Linked DNA regions of Arabidopsis thaliana. The protein of the gene in region 1 interacts with the protein of each later gene in a pairwise test. Each region holds a gene or a part of one and is shown in the gene's direction. Other genes may lie near its edges. The genes, in order: AT1G14260 and MKK10.

Region 1 (13,107 bases):
AGACGAATGGGCTAATGTTATCTCTGGTTAGTTGTTTTTTTTTCTTGAATCAATTCTTCATTTTGGATAAGTTGGGAAATGTAATCATTGGGAAATGATTCAGGATCTGATGAAGGTATATATTCTTGGATTACTGCCAATTACGCACTTGGTTCGCTTGGAACTGATCCGTTGGAAACAACGGGGATTGTTGAACTAGGCGGTGCTTCTGCGCAGGTTTAGTCTTGTCTCTCTCGTTGGATGCTAGAGTACTAGACCATGCATACATTTACGCTATATATAGCTGGCTTTCTCTTTTTCTTTGTATAAATGTAGGTATTTTCCGTCCAATTTTGGCAGAAAAAAATGATTTGACTTTTTTTTTTTGATATAATTTTCATCACAAATTTTGTAATTTAAGACGTTTTTTGTCGCTTGATGATTCAAGATTGGGTTTAGATTTTTTTAACAAATTTGAAACGAACATTTTTGATGCAAAAATTGGTTTGAAAAACGAACAATTCCGGATTAAGAAACTAACAACAACCGAACTATACTGCATCTAGATCTGAATCTTGATGTTGACTTTAGATGTACGTCCGGATTAAGAAACTAACAACAACAGAACTATACTACATTTGGATCTGAATCTAGATGTTGACTTTGTAACATATTTTTAGACTTCAACTGTGGTATATGGTCGAATTGTTAGTGATGACTATTTGTGCATATGTTTAGGTGACATTTGTGTCAAGTGAGCATGTGCCTCCTGAGTACTCGCGTACGATTGCCTACGGAAATATTTCATACACAATCTACAGTCACAGCTTCCTCGATTATGGGAAGGTAACTTTTGAGACAAGAGGATTTGTGTCTTTGATTCCTTGTTTTTTAAAAGTTGTTTGGAAACGTATTAATCGCTGAATTTTATTTCTTTTCTTTTTCTCATCAAAATTGTAGATAATAATGCTACCAAATTTGTTAATTTTCAAAAAAGCTATTAACTTTTGTCTCCTTCCAGGATGCAGCACTAAAAAAGTTATTGGAAAAACTCCAAAACTCAGGTTAGTTGTTTTTGATAAATTGTTATAATTGCACTTTTGAGTTCATGTAATTGTAATAATATTATTTTTCTCTCAATACTCATCTTCGGTGTTACAATTCATATAGCTAACTCTACAGTGGATGGAGTAGTTGAAGACCCTTGTACTCCTAAAGGGTACATCTACGACACAAATTCAAAGAATTATTCATCCGGATTCTTAGCTGATGAAAGCAAACTTAAAGGCTCCCTTCAAGCTGCTGGTAATTTCTCAAAATGCCGATCCGCTACGTTTGCGCTTTTGAAAGAAGGAAAAGGTAAACAAAGAGCATTATTGGTACGTATAGCTGAATGTTGTTCCTCGTATCGATTTTTCTTGATCTCTTATGGGTGTAGTTTTGTTCCTTTGTGAACAGAGAACTGTCTATATGAGCATTGTTCTATTGGATCAACATTCACACCTGATCTTCAAGGAAGTTTTTTGGCTACAGCATCTTTCTACTACACCGCCAAGGTATAATCCCATGACGTCAAGATTATATGTATGAATTTGTGGGGGAGAAATTGTTTGAACATTAATGTCTTATATATTTTCCTGTATGAAATTAATCTGAATCAGTTCTTTGAGTTGGAAGAAAAGGGTTGGTTGTCTGAATTGATTCCAGCTGGGAAGAGATATTGTGGAGAAGAATGGTCGAAACTGATATTGGAATACCCAACAACTGATGAAGAATATTTGCGTGGCTATTGTTTCTCAGCAGCATATACTATATCAATGCTTCATGATAGTCTTGGTATTGCTCTTGATGATGAAAGGTAAAATTTACTGCACAAATTCAAGAACATTGTAAGATTAATCAAATGTGGGTTTTTTTGGACAAAGATATAAACAAAAACTATACGTTTGTTTTTGTTTGCAGTATCACGTATGCAAGTAAAGCAGGAGAAAAACACATACCACTAGATTGGGCATTGGGGGCTTTTATACTAGATGTTGTAACACCCAATTCTGATTACAATGGTAAATCTAGAAAATATCTTGGCTTTTAAGTAACGTAGCCAAATACAAAATATGAAATCATAGTTTTGTATTTTACGTTAAACTGTGTTTGAAAGTAACTATCATGTCGTCGTTCCTTTTCATGAAATAAGTTAGCTAAGTTCGTAGGTGTGTATCTTCCCCTGCATGGGATCGACTCTTCTCGTTTGTGGGATTGTATTATTGTAATAAAACTCTTTGTTTGGTTTCTTCTCTCAATAATATTGTTACAAAGTTGACGAGTACAAAACAAAAAGAGGAAGGAAACAAATTAAAAAAAAATTACTCATAAGAAAAAGAGAGAGACCAAATTAAAGTAGAGGTGGTACATAATAACATGAAATTCAATATTGTTTTTTTGTTTTTTTGTTTTCATTCTGATTTTGATTATGGACACGAAATCTAAGATTACAGAGCAATTATGAATGGTACTGTTTAAGAAATCGGCCCACAGCGAGTGATGATATATGATCCTTTGTTCGCATGTCCTTCTGTTTTGCACACGTTTTGTAAATGTGCTTTTACTTTCTTTAACTATTAATTTAGGTGTACAACAAAATAATAGATTTTCAAATACCAGTTACCACTAGTTTCTTATCCCTGGAGGATTGGTTACGTGAAATATCTTTTAGGTCTAAAGACTAGAGCTTGTAGTTATAGGTCTTCCTCTGGACTCCTATTTCTCAGTTCTCACTGATTATAAAATCAGATTCTAGACTAATTAAGAAGAACAGGCAAAACGAATTTGCTATTGGCCCGTTACGTTTTTTTTCCTTTAAATAATTTTTACGTTTTTTCACTACGTTTATTGCTATTGCTATAAATTTATCTTCTCAGTTTTCGTTAGAGAGTCTTAAATGCTGATACAATGTTTGTATACGTTCCAGGTTGGAAAAAAATAATCGGATATGGATGCTCTCAAGGTTCAGATTCTACCTGATAACCAATCATCACCTTCGTCCACGCACATGCTCACTAAGCCCAAGTCGAAAAAAGCGACAAAATCGATTGCCATGCTAATCGTCGCTTCCTTGGCTATCACGTTAGGGTTATTATTTGTTTTCAGTTCAAATTCAGTTATGTTCTCTGCAAGTTTTCTTCGGAGAAGTTCACTTCACTACAGCGTCATTATCGATGCCGGGAGTTCGGGGACCCGAATTCATGTGTTCGGGTACTGGTTTGAGTCTGGAAAACCCGTTTTCGATTTCGGAGAAGAACATTACGCTAGTCTGAAGTTGAGTCCTGGTTTGTCTTCGTATGCTGATAATCCGGAGGGAGCGAGCGTGTCAGTGACAAAGCTTGTGGAATTCGCGAAGGGAAGAATCCCCAAGGGGAAGTTGAAGAAGAGTGACATTAGGTTAATGGCGACTGCTGGAATGAGATTGCTTGATGTGCCTGTTCAAGAACAGATTCTTGATGTTACTAGAAGAGTTCTTAGATCTTCAGGGTTTAAGTTTCAAGACGAATGGGCTACTGTTATCTCTGGTTAGTTTTCGGAATCAATTTTTTTATTCCATCAAATGCAATTATGTTTAAGTTGATCACTGACCTACAATTATACATTGTGGGAGTTTACCTTTCTTTGGTGCACTTGTAAACATAAGATTTTTGTTTCATTTTGTTTTCTTTTAGCTTAGTTGAGTGATAGTAAATGTGCACATATCCATTGGCAATTGGAAGTGCTAATTACTGGGGGGAAAATTTTATTCAGGAACTGATGAAGGTATCTATGCTTGGGTTGTTGCCAATCACGCACTTGGTTCGCTTGGTGGTGATCCATTGAAAACAACGGGGATTGTTGAACTTGGTGGGGCTTCTGCGCAGGTCTAGTCTCTTTCCCTTCTCAAATTTGTTATCCAGAAGAAAGTGTCCTTGGCTCTGTTCCTTTTGTCAAACTACACTAGTTTGGATGTATTATGAATTGCATCCAAAAGATTTGGATTTTATGGATACAATGAAAAGTAGGGTCTGTTAGTCCAAAACTATCAAAGACTAAACATACTAGTACGATATACAATGATTGTAAGCCATTTTCTGTATTTGTATAGGTGACATTTGTGCCAAGTGAGCATGTGCCTCCTGAGTTCTCCCGTACCATATCTTATGGAAATGTTTCGTACACAATCTACAGTCACAGTTTCCTCGACTTTGGACAGGTAACTTCTGAGAGCAGAGCATTTGTCTAAATGTTTTTGAGTACTTATTTTCTATGATTTCACCCTTTTCAAAAAGTTATCCGGAAACTTAAGTGGAAATTGCGTCCCAGTTTTCTACTTAATAATATTCTGATTTTTAAAATTTCCTTGTAGAAAATGCTACCAAAAGTTTTGCTAACTTTTGTCGTATCGTGCAGGATGCAGCAGAAGACAAGCTATTGGAATCACTGCAGAACTCAGGTTAGTTGTTGATAACTTCTTAAAGTAATCATTAGTTTACTGAAATTGGAATTTTTTTTGTTAAAGCTAATTAGTAATAGCCCTCTTGAGTTGGAAATAATCTTCTTTTACCTCAAAACTAATTTGGTTTTTTATTCCATACAGTAGCAGCCTCTACAGGGGATGGAATAGTTGAAGACCCTTGTACTCCTAAAGGGTACATATACGACACACATTCACAGAAAGATTCATCCGGATTCTTATCTGAAGAAAGCAAATTTAAAGCCTCCCTTCAAGTTCAAGCTGCTGGTGATTTCACGAAATGCCGATCCGCTACGTTAGCAATGTTGCAAGAAGGAAAAGGTAAATAGCATTACTTGTATAGATGATTTATAATGGGAATATTTGATCTCTTATGGCTATATTTTTGGCATTTTGTGTACAGAGAATTGTGCTTATAAGCATTGTTCTATTGGATCAACATTCACACCTAATATTCAAGGAAGTTTTTTGGCAACAGAGAATTTCTTCCACACATCCAAGGTATAATCCTTTGAATTTCATGTTGGTCGATGTCAAGATTCCGTCTGAATGTGAGGAGAATTGTTTGAACATTGGTCTTTAATTTCTGTCTTGATCAGTTCTTTGGGTTGGGAGAAAAAGAGTGGCTGTCTGAAATGATTTTGGCCGGAAAGAGATTCTGTGGAGAAGAATGGTCGAAACTGAAAGAGAAATACCCAACAACTAAAGACAAATATTTGCATCGTTATTGCTTCTCATCAGCATATATTATCTCAATGCTTCATGATAGTCTTGGTGTTGCTCTTGATGATGAAAGGTAAATGTTATTGCACAAGTTCAAGATCAATGCATGTTGGTTTTCTGTGACAAAGATATAAACAAAAACTATATGTTTGCTTTGTTTGCAGAATCAAGTATGCGAGTAAAGCAGGAAAAGAAAACATACCACTAGATTGGGCATTGGGCGCTTTTATACTGAATACTGACACACCCACTTCTGATTACAATGGTAAATCTAGAAAAATGATTGGCTTTAAGTAACGTGGCCAAATACAAAATATATGATATGATCGTAATTTTGTATTCTACGTTACATTGTGTTTGAAACTTGTATTCTACGTTACATTGTGTTTTGAAAGTATAGTCGTCGTTTCCTTTTGTGGAATAAGTCAGCTAGCAGCTACTCATTAATAAATTGAACGCCAATATGTGGTAATGTATTATGTATGTGGCGGTATGTGTATAATTTCGACATTATAAGAAAACCTCTGCGACCTTACGGTTGTTTGAATTGCCAATTATAATTTTATCAATTACTTTTTGTTTACTTGACTTTACGTTCTTTGAACTATTCAAGTCAACAACAATACATTAGATAAAGAATTACCACTAGCTGCTTATCCCGAACTCTACGTAGAAATTATATAGTACGGCTAGAGAATAAAGTCTATTCTGCTGATAGATAGAATCATAGAAAGCCAAAAAAAAAAAAAAATTTCTTGTGGCAAAAAGCCTACTATAATCTATATTCGCAAAATACACTTTTTTTTTCTTCTTTACTTTGTAATACTAGATATCAAAGGTTGTGTAGACTTTTATTTTGTATTTAATTTTTTCTGCTGTTGAGAATTCATTACTCGGTGATAAATCTTTTCCCAACCGGGTGACAAATGTAAAATCACATTTCATAATGGTCTTTAGATCTTATTTTTTTATAGCTAGAACCAGTCTTGGATCTTACGCAAAATTAATCTAAATTCTACCATAAGTCGTTAGGACGCTAAAATCCTAAAAAACTAACATTTCTTGGTTCGACAAGCTAATTAACAAAAAAATTGTATAATAGTAAGGGAGTCTATCTGCATTTCACCTATCTGTGTCAGATTATATATAAAGAAACATATGTATACGTGACCATGTCTTTTCTTGTTAAATCTTTCTTTACTGAATACTTGACAATTTCTATAAGAATAGCTCAACGGTCAATAATTTTCAATCCGTACAACTAAGGACTATATAGACATGTATGTTCCCTGATCATTTATGGTCAACCACATTAATATGTTTCTAAAATATTAGACGTGAGTTCTATAATATTCTTCAAACAAATTGTTTATTTAGTGAAAATGATCAAGTGTTTACTTGATTTAATGAATCTAATTCTTCCTAGTTGTATTTTGCCAATAACCTTATCTATTCCAATATATCTACATTATAATGCGTATAATACTACTGTATAATACAACAGAGTATATATAATCCAGCGTATTATTGACTTTATACTCAAATATTGCATTAACAGAAAAATGCAAAATATATATTTTTTAAAGAATTATATGTGAAATAACAGTTTAATAATGAAAATAAAATCTAAAATTAAAGATTAGAAAAGTAATATTTATTATGGAAACTGACGAGTTTTGAAAAGATCATGGGATTAAATGGTGTATTATTTGTAGTTATACGACTTGGTTTTTTAAAATTATAATCAAAAACAACATGTTGTTAATTAAAGAGGTACTAGATGCTGTCAGAAATAGACCAACAAAAAAGAGAGACTACTTTAGATTACCACTAGGAGCCGTTATACTTAAGTTCTGGTCAACGGCTATATAACTAACGGAGCCGTTAGTCTTTTCAGACGTCGTTATCTTTCCCGCTATAAAAAGCCATTTTCCATTAGCTTGATTTCCGGGCCAAACAAAATCTTTTGTGAAGAAACTTTCTCTCATCTTCCCAAGGGAGAGAGCAAATACCAAAAACTTCTTTTTGCGTCTCTCTTCTAACATTCCTTCCTTGCCGATATTTCAGCTCACGACGAGAAAAATCTCACCGTTCACGCTATATACATCTATTTGCAGGTGATTTTTTTTCTTCTAGATTTGGTATCTCGTTTTCTCCGAAAATCTCGATCTTGATCTTTGCTTTTCTCGGATTCGTAACGCATGTGTCTGATTAGAGTTCATATACTTGTGAATTTCTTGTTTTTCGTATTTAGGGATTTGATTTCGTAGAAGTGGTTTTGGGAAACACTGAGATGAGTAATCATCACACGGTCGTATATGTTAATGGATTGGTTCGACCGGTTCTCGCGGAGGCTGAGTATAGTATGAGAACAGAGTCTCCGGCGGATAATGCAATTGATATCTACGACGGAGATACTACGGAGAATGAGGAGGAGGATTCACTGATTTCTTCCGCGGAGTGTCGGATTTGTCAGGATGAATGTGATATTAAGAATCTTGAGAGTCCTTGTGCTTGCAATGGCAGCTTAAAGGTAGTTTTTTCCTTCATTGTTTCATGATCACTATAGGAACCTATAGTTAGTTATCAAGAGAACATTTGAGTATTGACTTTTAAGTTTTACGTTGTGATCAGTATGCTCACAGAAAATGTGTTCAACGTTGGTGTAATGAAAAGGGAAACACTATATGCGAAATCTGTCATCAGGTATATACATTCTTTCTCTTGATACTAATGATGTATGATTTGTAGAGGATGCAGCTCAAATTAAACTTTCTCTTATTCCAGCCATACCAAGCTGGATATACCTCTCCACCACCACCACCACAATCTGAAGAAACTACTATTGACATTGGGTATGATCATTTTCATTATTCTGTTTCTGTCATACACTTTAGGTTTGGTTTCATGACTTGTAATTGTTCTGACTTATTTGTCTGTTTTTTAGTGGAGGATGGAGAATCTCGGGTTTGGATTTAGATGATCCACGTCTCTTGGCAATAGCAGAAGCTGAACGTCAGATTTTAGAATCAGAATATGATGATTATACAGCTTCAGATACCAGTGGAGCTGCATTTTTCCGCTCTGCTGCTTTAATAGTAAGTCTAAAGCTCCTCAACAAGTTTCAATTACTCCCGAGTATTTTTACTAATTTCTCTTCTCTTTTGCAGTTGATGACTCTTCTTCTATTGCGACATGCACTGACTATACCAGATTATTCAGATAGTGAAGATGATGATCCTTCTTCAATACTTTCTGTAAGTTACTACTTCTTCCTTTTTTCCAGCATATACTGGAAAAGTTTCGTATAAGTTCTAACTCCAAACCACAAAATCATCTTGCAGCTTTTCTTACTCCGAGCTGCCAGTTTTCTTCTTCCTTGCTACATCATGGCATCAGCCATCAGTATCCTGCATCGCCGTAGACAGAGACAGGAAGCAGCGGACTTGGCCACTCGGTTTGCGTTGGTGCTCAGCTCGCGCCAACCTAGACCCGTGATTAATTATTTGTCAATGGAGCCATGATTTTATAGTTCCACTCTAAGAGTTTCAGGTGTATATGCTTTTCAAATATTTCATCAGAAAAAAGATTCATGAACTGCTGTTAAAAGAGTGGTTTACAGTAAGTAGAAAGAAGAATCTCTTCTTCTTCTTCTCACTTCTTGCAAAGCTATTGAAACTATCTTTTCTGATGAAATCATTGAATCATATGTGGTGTTAATCAAGATTTGGTAGCAACAAGAACCATCACAAGATCTACATGATGGTCCTTCTGAATCAGCTTTCTTACAAACAAGGAGTGTCCTAACTTAGTGCAGAGTTTTTTTTTTTACAAGTATTCGATTCTAAGAAAGATTGTGTATGTAGATTAAAGAGTTTCTGATTCTGTAGCATTAAGATTTTCAATAACACTTGATTGAGAGATGAGCATTTCACTTTTTAGGTAAAGAAAAACGAGACACATAATTTGTAATCTGTGTAAATAAATTTGTTTTTTGTTCCAAAAAGATTCATCTCTACCATATTAGTTCATACATTACTGTCATGATGTTGTAATAAAGATAACTCTACCAAAACCCAAATTGCATTAAGTATGAAATCTGTTCTCGAATACAAAATATCTTACTAACATCGAGCACATAATGAAGCTTTTTGATGTTAAATGCGGACAGCACAAAGAGCATGGCTCAGAGCTAGTTTGCCTGCAATAGCTCCTTAATGTCATACCCTTGGATCTACAAAAAACAACAGAGACAAAACAAACATAAGCTAAGAGTTGATATGTTATTTTGACATTGTAGTGATCATAGGAATGAGTTTTCTACCTGAAGAAAAGTGAGTAGCAAAATAACTCCCGAGTTCCAGAAACCGTGTATGACCATTGGGGTAATGAGATTGCGGGTTTGTGCATATGATAATCCCAAAACACTTCCTAAACCAAAAGATACTTATTGTTCATCCAGAAATGTTCATAACCATGAGAAAATGCAAATGGTTTTGTTTTTAGTTATGTTTTACCTAGAATAAACAGCTGCGGGAATTCACCAGGTGTGAAATGGGCAAGGGCAAACGCAGCTGAGCTGATGATGATCGCTATTGGGGTCGGGACCCTGAAATACAGAACGTAACAAAATGTAGTAAGCTTTTGTCCAGAACCAAATGAGAAAAAAGAACAGAGGTTTTACCATTTGGTAAGAGAGACCATGAAGAATCCGCGAAACACGGTCTCCTCCAGAAGTGGAGCAAGGATTCCAGTTATGCCCACTAAGCTTAAGGTGCTGTATTATGTGCAATGTGTGATCAAATTCTAGTATTAACGCACATCGCAGTTTCTATTTCTTTGAGGAAATACCTTATGTTTGAGGATCCAATTAATGGAAGAAGCTTCATCAAAGAGTCTACCTGAAAACATCACACTAGGCCTCATTACTATTATCCAACAAATATTTCGAAAACAAAACATAAAGCATGGTTTTGAATTCTCCTAACCTCCCTTTCAGGTGCTTCTGTCCTGAACACGGATAAAACAACACCTGTTAACGCAATAGCACCAACAGCACCAACCAGACCGATTCCACCCCACACAAGCCATCCTTTTTGCAGGTTGACGGGTTGTCTCAAATCTGACGATCGAACAAACAGTCAACTACCAATAAAAGAGCAAACCATGCTGATAGAAAAAAAAAAAAAAAAAAAAAAAACGTACCATAGCGAAGAATATCTTCAGGAAGTGGGTCGAAGGTTTTGGCAACAGTGAATATGACAGCAAGTACCACCGCGGTTGTTAGGCTGCCAAATATTTAGACAATGTTATTCAACATAAGCCAAACCTCAAGAGAGATAACTAATTTTACAATGTGAAATCAGCTAAAGCAACGAGATTATATAATGAGTTTACATTAACAGAGTAAAAAAGAGCAAAGAATACACAAAAGAGTAGTATTTTTTTGGTTACCCTTGATCCAGGAACAAAATCTCCGCCTTATCGTCCAAGGTCAGTTTCTCAACGTCGATTCCTAAAAACGGTATGACTGCCATCTCGGTTAATCCTGTCAAAACAAAACTGCCTGGGAACAAAATTAATCTCACTCCATGCATTACACAGAGAATAGTCACTGAACATTAAACTATTTAACCATAACAGAGAGATTATCTTTCAGATCAGTCTACTCAACCATCACATTTATCTTAGCACACAGTCTATGTACTTTCATCAAACTCCAACCCTAAAGTCATCAAAAGGGAAAGCTTTTGATGAGAGTACCTTAGTGCACAAGCAAACGAAGTTAACGAAACTGTCTGCCATCCCCATGGAACTTCCCATCTCTGAAGTATCGGCCACTCTGAGCTACCTCCTTGTAACTACAACAAATATAACAATCAAAACTTCAAATAATTTCTCAAAGGTCTAGTCTTTTTTCACATTCCAATAGAATTTGGATTCAATTGAACAAGTTACATAGAGCTGCCTCAGAAAAATTCAGACCGGAAACTAAACAAGAATCTAATTTAGATAGAGTCAGTGAGACAGTAACCTTTCCCTCTCCTCCAGGTTCCTTTCCAGAGTTGAAAATGCAGGCCGATCTCCATTTCTTCCGATTAACCGTAAATAACCGGCGGCTAGCAAATCCTGGAGAAAACCGGCTCAAACCGCCGTAAGTACAAGTCTTCGGAAGAATTAACCTCCTTGAATCGGATAAACATAGAAGAGACGAAGATTGAGATAAACACGAGATTATCTGAGAAACCATTTTGAAATTTTCTGTTGTTCTTAGAGAACTTCCACACATGAACCAACACGATTATCAGATTGAGGAAGAGGATAAGATCCGACTAAAACGAGCGGGTAGAAAAAAACCGTTACTTACTTAAAATAACGTTGTTTAAGGCCCATTTATGTCAGTATAGGCCCAAAGCCCATTAACGACCAACTAACTCGACGACAAGTCTTTGTCAGTATATCACAAAATACGTACATCCCTCGTGTCTTCTAATTTGTAATTTTGTTCCTTGGGAGAATCATGTCCACTATTTTTCTTTTTTCATTTTCCTTATAACCAAGACAAAATATAATTAATATTTTGTTTATACATTAGCACAAAATCACTGGCAAATAGGCAGTCTTGTCCCAGTAATGGAACCCACACGACATAGCTTCAAAAAAAAAACAAGGAACTTCCTCATTTCTTCTATTTATATTACTCAAATCTAAATCATCCCTAAGAAATAGTAATACACAAAAAGAAACAAAATGGTGACCTTAACTTCATCTTCTTCAACTCCAAACGTATCTTTTGATTTCATGATGAACAATAATAATAACAGTAACAATCTCTATGGTCCTTTCTCTTCTTCTTCTACTTCTTTCTCTTACTTGACAAGCAAGGAAGATGCTCTCACCCAGAAGAACCTAATGAGTGGTATCACCAATGATGTTCTTGGAATTAACAAGAAAGCTTCTGAAGATTTGGAGATCAGTGTGTTTGGAGCTGAGAAGTACTTCAATGGAGATATGGATTCTGACCACAGTCCTAGACTTGTGTCTCCTCTGCCAGATCCAGAAGTTCCAATAGAGAGAATCTTTGTTGGTCCGAAGCAAAGCTCGAAGAATTCCTCGGAAACTCCTAGTCTTCGGTCTGAATCCAGTTGGAATAGCCAGAGTTTGTTGCTTCAGAGCAAATATGTAGAGAAGAAGAAGAACATCAAGAAAAACTCTAGTTGCAACAGTTACTTTCAGGAGAAGGATATGAGTAGCAATCACAAGGTGAGTAATAAGAAGAGTTTTCTCGCTACTCTTGGCTGCAGATGCGTGTGTTCGAACTGGAGTTCAGTGGATGTCGTCGACGACAAGAGAAGAAGCTCTGGTCTGAAGAAGATCAAGACTCAATTGAGTTTCTCTGGAGATCTAAGCTCGGAGATGAAGATTCATCAACAACAACAAGAAGCAATGCTAGAGCAGAGGAAGTCTCTGGAAATATTTGGATCTCCTCTTATTGAGAAGAGAATCATTCAGAAGAAATTTCCATGGGAATACTCGAGCTCTGCGAAAAAAGAAGAACATGGATTCTCTGTGAAGTATGAAGAAGAAGAAGATGGGAGTGTGAGCGATGTAAGTACGGATCTTTTTGAGATTGAGAGCTTAACAGGGAAGGCAAACCCTTTTCTTGCAAGGCAAGGAAGTAGTGATCCAGACTCACCAGATGGTTATGCACCAAGTGAGGTAAGCATACAATGGAGTGTAGTGACAGCAAGTGTAGCAGATTTCTCTGTTATGTCTGAATGTGCTACGAGTCCCGTCAAAAAGAACCGGTCTTTTCAGATTCCTCGAATCCCTATCATGGCAAAATCAAACCGAGAAATCGCGCCTCAGAGACGGAAATCTAGCAGTAGCGGTTTATTAATGGGATG
Region 2 (12,246 bases), 6.8 Mb from region 1:
AAATCAGTAAATGGCTATGACGATCATACCAAATTTAATTTGATGTTTAATCGTATATGAGAAAAGTGAAAACAGAACATTTTACAGAACAACGTCTTTTGTTCATTATGACAAGCTTAACAAGTTTTATGGTCGGTCACACGGGCCTTTGTTGTTGGGCTTTAGCCGGTTTATTTGGTTCAATTCGGTTTACATGGTTAGTCCTCGAATAAAATAATTTCGGTTTAAGATTTGTTACGGCTCCTCCGTCAATGTATCGTCGTTGATCCCAAATTTCTTCTGAACAATTTCGATTTTGAATTCGCGCTGAGTGATGAACGGCGCTTCTCCGGCTCATTCATTGGTTTCGACGACCGCCGTAGCTGGTGGAGGTGGAAGCAGTGGCGCCGCCGCTGGTCTAGACGATTTCCATTTTCCACCGGATATTCCCTCAATGCAAGAGCGAAAAGACGAAGCTATGCGTGGTCAGTTCTTACTCTTTTCCCTTTTCGTTTCATGATTTCGAATCTTAGGGTTTCAAATTAGAGGTTTTCTATAAGATTCGGTAATCAAATTTCTCAGTGATCAGAGATTTGAGTATCACATCTCCAAATTTAGGGTTTTTGATACTATCTGAAAATCCCAATTTTGTTTCCCTGAGTTTTTTTTATTTGGTTGATTGATTTGTTGATTTAACAGTAACTTCTTTAGATAATTAGTATTGCTAATTAATTACTAATAAATGATTAAGGACATGAGTAGATTAAGAAAAAGCTTGCTTCAGTTTCAAGTGTTTGTTTGAGATATGTTATGTAATAGGTTTGGTTTTTGTTTTGATGGTGTAGTTTTGAAAGCTGATTTGATGACTGAACTTGACAAAGAGGTTAAGTCTTTGGAAGAAGATAGTTGGATGTTCGAAGGTCCTCGTTCTCGAATCCATCTTATATCCAGAAGAGGTTAGTTTTCTTCTTCTTCAATCCTATTTTTCTGTATGTCACAAAGCTGTTTTCATGTGTACGTTTATATCAATCTTGAATAAGTTTTAACAGCAGTAATGATCCCAATGGTTCAAAATTTCATGTATTTGCCATTCTCTAGATTAGGCAAGTCGGTATGGTGAGAACATTTGATCGAATCTGCGGGTTTGTGTGTGTGTTTTCGGTGTTTCGTCATCACTAAGACACTCTACTGAAGTATATTTGTTTCTGATTAGGTAATTTTCTAAAGAAAGGAGGTGAAGTGAAGCTATGGTGAAATTAAGCTTTGTTCAGCTTCCTAGATGATCGGATTCATTCAAGTAAGAAATATCAGAAATGGTCGTATACGCTTTGTTTCGTGTTCTTCACAAATGTCACTAAAACGTTAACTTTATATTTTCCCATTGTAAGGGACAAAATAGTATTTCTATGGTGTTAATATACAAGTGAGGAAATCATTATTCGGCTAATGAGTCTATTACTCGAAAATGAAATTTCAATATTCTCAAGAATATAGATAATCAACTTTCATCAAAGACAATTTTTAAGTTTGAATAATTAATTTAAAATCCAGATATTTTTCTTGATTTTTTGTCTAACTTGGTACTTTTTATTAGTTCCTTTAAAAAAATTAGGTTATTATCATCTTCCCAAAACAAAGATTCTACTATATGTACGGAAAAAGAAGTACCAAAAGGTCATTATTAAATCCCAAAACTTGTTTACCTATTTTTATCAGGAATCAATTGATCACCACTACCTAAAAACCACAAATTGCTTAAGTTTGTTAACACTGATTGACAAGTGTCATACAAGTAATCCCATTTGCCACGTGTCATGTCCTTTTTATGTAACCTAGGACTTGAAAACCACAAGTGCAAGCAAATAACCTAGATGACACTTGTTAGAGAACGACGTCACCAAGAACCTCTCACACTCTCTATTCCACCACTTATTTACCACGGCACCGCCTTCTCCGTGGCATCTTCTTCATCGTCAAGCCCTGAAACATCGCCGATTCAAACCTTAAACGATCTCGAGAAACTCTCCGTTTTAGGACAAGGAAGCGGTGGGACAGTCTACAAAACCCGTCACCGGAGAACCAAAACGCTTTACGCCTTAAAAGTCCTCCGGCCAAATCTCAACACCACGGTCACCGTCGAAGCCGACATCCTCAAGCGAATCGAATCGAGTTTTATCATTAAATGCTATGCCGTTTTTGTTAGTTTATACGATCTCTGTTTCGTGATGGAGCTTATGGAGAAAGGATCTCTCCATGACGCGTTACTTGCTCAACAAGTTTTCTCCGAGCCAATGGTATCGAGTCTCGCTAACAGAATCCTCCAAGGGTTACGTTATCTGCAAAAAATGGGAATAGTTCATGGAGACATAAAGCCTTCAAATCTCCTTATTAATAAGAAAGGAGAGGTCAAGATTGCGGATTTTGGAGCAAGTAGGATAGTAGCCGGAGGAGACTATGGATCGAATGGGACATGTGCTTATATGAGTCCTGAACGTGTAGATCTAGAGAAATGGGGTTTTGGAGGAGAAGTTGGATTTGCAGGAGATGTGTGGTCATTAGGAGTTGTGGTTCTTGAGTGTTACATTGGAAGATATCCATTGACCAAAGTTGGGGATAAACCGGATTGGGCGACATTATTTTGTGCAATTTGCTGCAATGAGAAGGTGGATATTCCAGTGAGTTGTTCGTTGGAGTTTAGAGATTTTGTTGGGAGATGTTTGGAGAAGGATTGGAGGAAGAGAGACACTGTGGAAGAGCTTCTTCGTCATTCTTTTGTGAAAAACAGATAGCATTAGTCTCGGTTTGGTTTTCAGGGTTGAGAAAAGCAAGTCATAAACTAAGGAACCGAACTTTAGTTTCAGTTTGATCCGGTTTAATTTGAATTTTTGGGTTCGGTTTTCCTTTGAAATTCTTTGGTTCGGTTTAGTTTGAACTTTTTGGTTTGATTCGAGTTCAGTTTTGAAATTTTTATTACTTTTGACTAGGCTTAAAAATTTAATAACTTTTTTAAAAATACTTGATTTATTTTTTCTTACAAATTTTCTGTTTACAGTAAAACCTATATAAATTAATAATATTGGGACAAAAAAAATTTATTACTTTGAAAGGTATTAATTAATAAAATTGTATAAATTTTGTTAATTCTAACAAAAAATTTGATATAAAAAGTTTTTTTTTCTTTATAATCAATAGTATTTCTGAAACACAATTACAAGTAGAAAACAATTATTAAATTTAAAAAATAAAAATAGAAATTTGATGTTGTAAAATATTAGAATTCAACACTACAAAAAATTAATAAAAACTGAAGAAAAACATAACTAGTCATTTTTTACATATGATATTTATAATATTATATATAGATATATATTGGTAAATTTATACAATTATTAATTTATATTATTGATGAGACCATTTATTTATATAAGATTTTCATAAAAAAAATATTATTTTACTAATTTATCCGAGTTGTATCAATTTTTACATTGGTTTCAAATCGGGACCGAAATAATTTACTAATTTATAAAGATTATTAATTTATTGAATATTAATTTATAGAGGTTTTACGGTATTTGAAATAGTTCGGTTTAGTTTACACTAAACATAGACTCGGTTCAATATGTTTTGTATGAAATTTTTGGTATTGTGAAGTTATGAATTTTAGTTTAGTTTGGATTTATTCGGCATTCATGAAGGATTAATAATGTCAAAAAAAGAGAACAGATGAATAGTTATGTTGACTTAATAAGTTCGCATTGCTCTTCTTCAAGCAAAATAAGCGAAAAGTTCAAACAAGAGACTGAAACATGACACAGATTCTCATATTGATAGAGAATTTGTGTAAAATTGAGAGTTGTATGAAGCAGTAATGTTAAACCACTTTGATACAAGAAAGAAGAAATAAAAGATCAGCGTATGAAAAATGAATATGCTGCTCTCAGGGACTGTGTTACCTCAAAAGACTTTAAAAACTCCCAAAATCAAGGATTTTGCCTGAGTGAAATAAACATAATATAAATAACTAAGCAATTAAACTTGAATAGTTAGAGTTTGATAGACAACTACTAAAGTTGATCTTTAGTTACCTTGAGAGATCTAAGGTTTCAGGAGAGAGGAGACCCATCTGTTGAGTCAGATTATCCATATGCTTAGTTTTGTCCCATCCATTTTGTTCCTGCTCTGTTTCATTGTCCACTGGTGTTGAATCCATATTATCTGGAACCGGGCTTGACATGAGTAAGCGTTCGAGTAAACCGTAATCAACAGGGTCTATATCAGAATCCATTGGAAAGTCGTCAATGTCGAAGGACAAAGAATCATCGATCAACAGATCTGGATCTAGTAATGGACTAGAACCTCCCAGGTTTGGTTCCATGAAACTCTCTGGAGGCTTCTCTGAATTATTTTCCGGTAGCATATGAGTGAAGTCGGGAAGAGTTAGATCATCAGGTGAAGGAATACAGTTCTCGGTTGCTTCTGATGCTGCCGAAACATTTTCAGGAGTTGTTTCAATTGGTGATGATGACTGTATCTCAGAAGCTGTAGGCATTTCCTTAAGAGTTATACCCGATACTTGGTTTGATGAAGTCTCCATCTCTGTTCCCTCGGTAGTAGACGTACCATTACCTAGAAGGAAACCATCATCGCCGGTTTTGTAAGGTTCCATCTTCATAAGCTGTTTAAACATTGCTTTGGCTTGCTCGTGCATTGGAGGTTGATACTTCACTATCTGTCCATCAGGAGTAGCAGAATCATTATTACGGACAATGCCGTCTCGCTTGAATCTCCGCTTCTTACTGGTATCACTGATGCGCCTATTACTCTCGTTTTGCTGATTCTGCTGCTGTAAGAATTGAGATAGAAAATGAGGGCTTTGTACTGCCTTTGCAAGGAATGACATTAATTGTTGTTGCCGATTCTCCATGCCCTGGAGACGCTGAACCATCGTTTGAAGTTGGTTATCAGTGGACTGTTGCTGCTGTCTTAATCTGACGAGTTCTTGCATAAGGACGTTCTTATCTCTTTTAAGCCTTTCAACTTCTTCTTCGAGACCAAATTTGCCAACTTCAACACATGCGCTAACAGATGAGTTCTGTCCATTCGAGTGCTGAGATCGCTGATGTCCCTGTCCCTGTCCATGGGCAGGTTTTCGCCTAGTTATTGATTGTAGCAAGTGCTTCTGACCTCTTAAAAAACCTTCATTCGCAAATTCCCATCTATCTGGGTCAACCTTCCTGAAACCCTGTATCAAGAAAAGACACGCAAAATGGAATGAAAATGGATTCCACCAAGACCAATGAGAAAGAATTCATCCGACAGCTTTAGAAGTGCAAATCTAAAACCTTCAACACATAGTCTTTTAACTGCCAACTATCCACAGATTGAAACAGCCATATACAGGACGTAACTGATCAGTTGGCACATGCATCAAGAGCAATTTTAATTCAGAAGTCAAGTAAATGACCAATCATGGTCAATTTAATATATGAATCATGAAAACTACTTTATTTATGTTCCTATTATGGGTCTTACCTACCACCCAAACCGAGGAAAAACCAAAATATCTAATAGGGATAACTGAAAACTAAGAGGGTGAAAAGTATCTATGATCTACCAGTGTAATCTTTATGTCAAAGTCTGCATGGTATAAACTCATAAAGATTGAATTTTGCTTCAAATAGTGCCCAACATGTAAGACATCATGTACCACACAGACAGTAACTAAGGAATAACTGGCAAACAAGAACTGTCAGCAGAAAATTCAAGCTCCTTTAAGTGCATTCACCATCTTGCAGCATCACGAGCATCCTGCTCTAAATATTATGCAGTACAAGCTCCATTCACCATGACCTTTAGAGCAAAGCTTATATAGTTATCTACTTATATACACAATAAAATCTCCATCCAGCCTATATGAATAAAAAGTATTTAATCTAAGTGCAACCGTACAGAGCAAACCTATGGTTCCCGTAACTGACATGCCAGATAAAGATTTAAAGTCACACTAATAACAATATAGATATTCCAACACTAAACACCCATATATCTACTTAAGATCTAGTTTCTATTCCAGGCACTCCTGATCACATTGGCCTTTTAAGGTTTTCAAAGACGTGAGATATCTCCACTAAACCTTGACTCATCTACAACAAAATGATAGATTAGTAAAACAGAAAGTTGATAACCTTGCACTCAGGTCATGATCAACATGAGACTTGCTCTCTTATTCCAAATTTCTTCTTTCTTCTCCTTTATAATGAATGCTGAGAAAATTCAGGAAGGTTTATTACTATCTTACGACTATTACTAAACCTGATTACAGAGAGTCAAACAGACAACAAAGACAAAAAAAAAAGGGTATACATCTCTATTCTCATCCCCCTAAGTTTGTATGTACAGTCAGCTTCATCAACGCTCTCACATATCTATCATTTCAAAGCCGTGAGGTTCTAAACTAAACAATCACAAGATATCAAGTATTGCAAATAAAGTAGTCTCTAAAAAGCATACTCATGAAACTAACTATCGATTCTAATGGATACAAAACTCCTCTGCTCAGAAACATAAAGCAACCATGGGAACAACATTAATGGAACAAAATCCATAAAATCGAGAAATGATGAAGTAAAAAAAAAAGGCGAAGGGAAAGGGAAGAAGATTACATAGGTATTAAGCTGTCTAACGAAGCTGGAGAAATTATTATGCTTAAAGTTCTTAGGAAGAAGATCGCGAGCGAACTCCGGTGGTTTCCAAACGATAAAACTGTTGTTATTAGCACTCCAAGAGACAATCGAATCTGTATTGTGATCATCAACCATATCATAGGTCTTGCTCAGAAACGGAGGAGGCGCGTTTGAACTTAGAATCGCCGCAGGCTGAGGTTGAGGAGATGGCTTAGTCTCCATTGAATCTCCTCCGCCGTCGCTTGTGGTTACTTTGCTCACATCCATTCGGATTTTTGATTCCAAGTCAATATTTGGGAATTTTGAGAAAATTAGGGTTTTATATACGAAACTGGTGATTTTTACAATAGGTGAGAGAGAGAGATAACTTTTGATTGAAGATCTAGAGAATTCTCAGAGAACATTCACGAGAGATATGGGCGGAGAGAGATATAGATCAGAAGAGAGATTTTGAAATCGATGGAGAGGACGAAAGAGAGACGACGGGAGACTCATGAACACTTACGAAATTACGGAATTAGACATTTCGCTTTTTCTCTTAAAAGCGGATGATTTATTACGTGTCACTATATTATTCGCTATTACGCTCTGTTTTTTCTTTTTGGGCTGACTAGCCTGACACGAGTATCGATTTTAATTCGTTAAAATAATAAATTGAAATTTTATTTTGTCTTACAATCTTTTCAAATTCCATCAGAGATTTATGTATTAGTAACTAACAAAGTTTTTTCAAATCTTTTAAAAATAATAATAATTAAATCTACAAACTATTTTGAATAATAATAAAAGTAGATTTTTAAATCATTAGTTTAATAACACTAAATTTTATTAAAAAATTTTAACTTCATAATTAAATAATATATGATTTGTAAATTTTACACAAATCACTTAAAATACTATATTAAATACATCGTCTAAAAAATAAAGTCATGGTTTTATTTCCTCTATGTGGATCTCTACTTTCATATCTGTATTTTATTTCAATTCATATTTAGATTTTGTACTTTATTTATGAGTTCTTTAGTTATGAGGTTGAGAAGTTTTTGTTTAGTTTTAATGTTTTCCTTTATTCTAGGTTTTTTCCATTTGTATCTATTTTTGTTTACGGAAAATATGTTTGTTTGTCGGTTTAGCTTATAGAAATGTATTTTTTTTTGCCGGCATATGTATTGTAATAGGAAAACGGTCTATTTTCCCATGATAACTATGACATCATGCCAGATAGAGCCCGAACAATGACCACAATCCAGATGTCCACGAAAAGATACTTCTCGATCTATATCTCCCAAAATCGATAGTTTCATCTATTTCCCCATATATTTGGGTTTAATCGGTTTGCTGACCAGACCCTATAAAATCCACTCAAACCGATACCAAACCACTTTATATGTCAAACCTTCTTAAAAAAAAATAAAAAAAATAAAAAAAAACAAAATTGTTGTCGGTCAAACGGTCTATTTCTCCATGATAACTATGACATCATGCCAGATAGAGCCCTAAGTATGACCACAATCCAGATGTCCCCGAAAAGATACTTCTCGATTTATATTTCCCAAAATCGATAGTTTTCATCTATTTCCCCATATATTTGGGTTTAATCGGTTTTCTGACCAAACCCGATAAAAATCCATTCAAACTGATACCAAATCACTTTATATGTCATACCTTCTTAAAAAAAAAAAAAAAAAAAAAAAAAAAAAAACAAAATTGCTGTCGGTCTTGTCTTCTCCATTCTTCCCATAGAATTCCAGATTATGTTTATTTGAAAAAATAGTTTATCTCTCTCTTTGATTGTTACGATGGGTGTTAGATTTACTTTGAATCCACATACAAATTTGTCGTAACTAATGAAGAGATATTCAACAAAGCATTTTAAACGCATTCTAATTGCTAATAACGTTAACATCGACATTGACCTGAAAACTGGAATCGTTGCTAAGAATATGGCTAAGAAAGAGAAGATCAAGGTGAGCTTCCGCATGAATTTTACAATTCACAAAAGAACAACCCAATTAAACAAAATCAACATCTCAATTATTAAATAAGTTTTATCCAATTCTATTACTGTTCTTTCAATTGCTCATCTTAAAATCAATCTGGGAATTATAAACACCAGAAAACAATCAACACAATCCATCAAGTCGACAATGGCTGATTCAGTGTTATCAATCTTCTACAAAATGAATCAAGTGATTTCAATGGGTGGAATAATGTGGGAAGGTCTCAATTCGAGTTTAATCAAAATCGATGAAGCTTTGCTTAAGCAGCAGATCCGAGCGGAGATGAGGAATAAAAAGAGAGAAAAAAAAAAGATATAGGAAGAAGAAGTAAAAAAAGGTTATATTTATGATTAAAAAAAAAAGAAGAGGAAGAAAAGTAATACTGCATATGTAATTAGTAATTTACTTTGTAATTTCCTAAATTAGAGCTAAATAGCTTTACCCGAAAAGGAAACAACAAAATACAGGAAGTGTTCCTTTTTTGTGTGTTACCGTAACATTATAAAATAACCTCCCATTATTTTCTCACAATTACTCTACTACACATCGAAGAGTTTACAATTCTCAGATCGAATAATCAAAATCTCTCTTTGAAGATGTCGATAATGATAACACACCGTTACATGGTCAGAAACGTTTATGCCGTTCCGTTTCATACAAAATACGGATTTGGTTTCCATTACTTCTCTTGTCTCTTTGGTTTACATGATGTAAAGTTGGTTCCTTTCTTCGGCTTGAAACGTTTTTATTACCCACAAAAAGTTCTGTATAACTCGAAACCTTCAAATTCTAAACCGGTTAATGAGAAGCCGATTCAAGAACCGAGTCAAGAAGGAGAATTGTTTGGTGGTTCGGTTACAATGGGTGCTGCTCCGTCACCGAGACACTTGCCAATTCCAACTTTTTGCATGTCTTCTAAGCTAATAAAGACTTGAATGAGACAGAACTGTGGACTTTTGTAGTAGTTGCTAATTGTAATAGATCCTGGCCACAATTAGATAATTGTTTCGTTTTTTATTTATTTTTCTGCTAGTGTTTTATGCTATTGTTACCTTTCGAGTCGTTTGTTATCATCACTTACGAAAACTTTAAAGAGTCAAAATAAAATCTAAAGTATACGATGTATATTGGTAAACATGACAGTTTATATAATACAACACTACCACTGCTTTGAATCTCCATCACTCTCTGTGGTTGCTGACATCTCAATCCTATCTGGACAAGACTTGTGGTTCAAGTAGTGGATGAGATAATCAAAAATCAAGATACGAAGAGAATCTAGGAAACCTAAGAACATTTAGGTTACCTTTCTTTCCGAAAAATGAACCAAACCCATCAATGTTTTTATACCTCAAGCAAATGAGAAGACACGATAATGACCAAGTATAATAAATATTGAAACCTGAATCGAAGAATGTATCAAACTTATCAATGTTTCTTTGGACTTTAAAACAAACGACAACAACCTCTATGTTGATCTTTGCAGACATGCCTTTACCCATCTGTGTGCTGCTTGCAGCCCTTTGGTCCATAATGCTGAGCAGATTTCTTCACCACTTTCTTACAAAGATAACAGAAATGTGCTTGACATGCCCAACAAAACAAGTGATTGTTGTTTCCCGCCTACACAATAACAAACTCCAGAATCATCTCATGAACCTCAAAAACCTATAATTCTCTGCCTTTGTTAAAACCAAATTTTTTTATTTTCTTACCTTTCCATTGAACTGGCGGCAATTAGGACATAACTGACCGCGCTGTGGAAACTGACCGCCTTGTGCAAACAGTTGCGCTTGAATCTGTCCAATGACTTGTCTCTCATTCATCATCTCATTCCATTCTTGGATCGCCTCTTGTGGGAACAGTTCACATTTTCCCTCACTTTTTCCCAAAAAAAAGACGGAGCTTACTTAGTTCCAAGATTTATATACATATGTATCTGTTCTTTTATATATGTAACATCACTAACCTGAAATGTTCATAACCAGTGATAGCTTCGTTGCAACGGTAACAAAAGTATTGACCACAGTTATTGCATACCATTTTGTTACAACCTCCGGTTCTTGAGATGGCTATTTTGCACGACGGACATTGTTTAGCGCTTTTCATTATCACCTTCACACTCATAATCTCATTGATCATTTCTTTCTCTTTCCGCCTTTGTTCCTCTCCAAGACGAGAAGAATCTTGACGCTCCTGTATAGAGATTTACATGTAAGAAAGAGTCAACGGTTTAACAAAGAGAAGATCAAAGGCACAATAATGATACCTGCAAGATTTGAAGCCTAAGTTCCGGGCTCATGCAAGCCACACCCACATGTCTCTTTTCCTTACAAAGTGTACAGAAACTGAAGTAGCATTTGAAGCATAAAGCAAGCTGTTCCTCGTCCTCTATGCAAGGGGTTTCACATCTAGGACAGTAAGCAACGTCAGTCATGGATTCCAGTGTTTTCTGTAACATAAGAGTTTCCCACCGTTCATACGCTTCATCGCCCAACAATCTCTTCAATATCCCTGGCGGAACAGTTTCTCCACATTTCGAGTCCGGACACTTGAGCTTGTTAACTGTGCCTTCAGTGACATGTATGTCTGTATAGGTCTTCATACATTTCAAACAAAAGAAATGCTGGCATGGTAACTTAACAAAGTCGATACCTGTAGAGGGTGTAAAACAACTGTAAACCAACCCACATTACTAAAGAAAACAGCTATGAAGAAGAACAAGATATACCTGCAGATTCAGAGAAGCATATGCAGCACTCATGCAAGCTCTGAAGGAAGCTATCATGACGTTTCTCATCGTCATAACTCCTAATATAAGGAATATCTGAATCCGGAGAACGACTTCCAGACACAGCACGCTTATCTCTGGAACATGTAACACCATAAGGACCAAGAACAATCTCATTATCAAAACCAAGATGAGAAATCGACGAGTTCTGTAGCCAATCTGTCCACTGGTACAAGACTTCTTGCCCTGGCTGTTCACTCCATAACGAGTCCAGCTTAGAGCAGAGACTTGAAATCTTATCAGGATTCATCCACTGAACACTTATTAAGAAATAAGGCGGTAAGTGGCTCGGATAAGCTTTTGGTAATAAACATTTCAACACAATCGGTGGAAGGTGTTGCGCCTTGAAAGAGTACAAGAAATCCTCTGACTCTTTGCTTGAATCAGCTTGTAAGTTAAGCTTTGTAGAGATAGTATATTCACTAGTAGCTTCAACGTTTACATGAACCTGCACAAATCAATACTATTAGAATATATTGTTATGTCACATTACCGATACGAAACATGTCAGTACTAAGCAGCTTATTTCTGACCTGAAAGTATCGCATATCGTTATACCGATCAAAGATGAACATGTTTCCTCCATATATGTACCCCAATGCCAAAAGCTGTTGAAACATCACAAAGGTCAAAACTTGATATGAATAAATGTCCTAAAGCTATTGAAACATCACAAAGGTCAAAACTTTATAGCTCAGTTTACCTCATCTTCCTGTAATTGATCATTCATCTTTAGTTGCTCCTCTGTTAGCTCTGGCTCACTGACACTAGATCGCAAATCTTTCAGAATTGT

What was found.
Region 2: the proteins of AT1G14260 (region 1) and MKK10 interact in a protein complementation assay, tested with the Arabidopsis thaliana proteins (one large-scale study listed by BioGRID).

Annotation. Positions count from the first base shown.
Region 1 is NC_003070.9:4,865,707-4,878,813, forward strand, and holds AT1G14260 (RING/FYVE/PHD zinc finger superfamily protein), read left to right. Parts: upstream 1-7,149; 5' UTR 7,150-7,317; intron 7,318-7,410; exon of another isoform or gene 7,411-7,454; 5' UTR 7,455-7,493; coding exon 7,494-7,733; intron 7,734-7,834; coding exon 7,835-7,906; intron 7,907-7,987; coding exon 7,988-8,055; intron 8,056-8,147; coding exon 8,148-8,298; intron 8,299-8,370; coding exon 8,371-8,457; intron 8,458-8,544; coding exon 8,545-8,724; 3' UTR 8,725-8,821; exon of another isoform or gene 8,822-8,925; 3' UTR 8,926-9,201; downstream 9,202-13,107. Other genes in the region: AT1G14240 (GDA1/CD39 nucleoside phosphatase family protein), read left to right, coding at 1-26, 104-216, 718-825, 1,001-1,043, 1,150-1,338, 1,438-1,535, 1,641-1,837, 1,942-2,071; AT1G14250 (GDA1/CD39 nucleoside phosphatase family protein), read left to right, coding at 2,969-3,545, 3,772-3,884, 4,109-4,216, 4,414-4,456, 4,601-4,798, 4,881-4,978, 5,077-5,273, 5,365-5,497; AT1G14270 (CAAX amino terminal protease family protein), read right to left, coding at 9,393-9,434, 9,525-9,631, 9,718-9,809, 9,885-9,977, 10,052-10,101, 10,189-10,322, 10,406-10,488, 10,655-10,762 and 2 more; PKS2 (phytochrome kinase substrate 2), read left to right, coding at 11,951-13,107.
Region 2 is NC_003070.9:11,653,306-11,665,551, forward strand, and holds MKK10 (MAP kinase kinase 10), read left to right. Parts: upstream 1-1,850; coding exon 1,851-2,768; downstream 2,769-12,246. Other genes in the region: GulLO1 (D-arabinono-1,4-lactone oxidase family protein), read left to right, coding at 1-60; SAMBA (valine-tRNA ligase), read left to right, coding at 314-464, 825-935, 1,193-1,233; HSFA1D (heat shock transcription factor A1D), read right to left, coding at 3,960-3,972, 4,065-5,221, 6,642-6,929; AT1G32337 (uncharacterized protein), read left to right, coding at 8,510-8,629, 8,779-8,817; NHL8 (NDR1/HIN1-like 8), read right to left, coding at 10,157-10,285, 10,378-10,543, 10,632-10,858, 10,932-11,317, 11,394-11,901, 11,987-12,061, 12,157-12,246.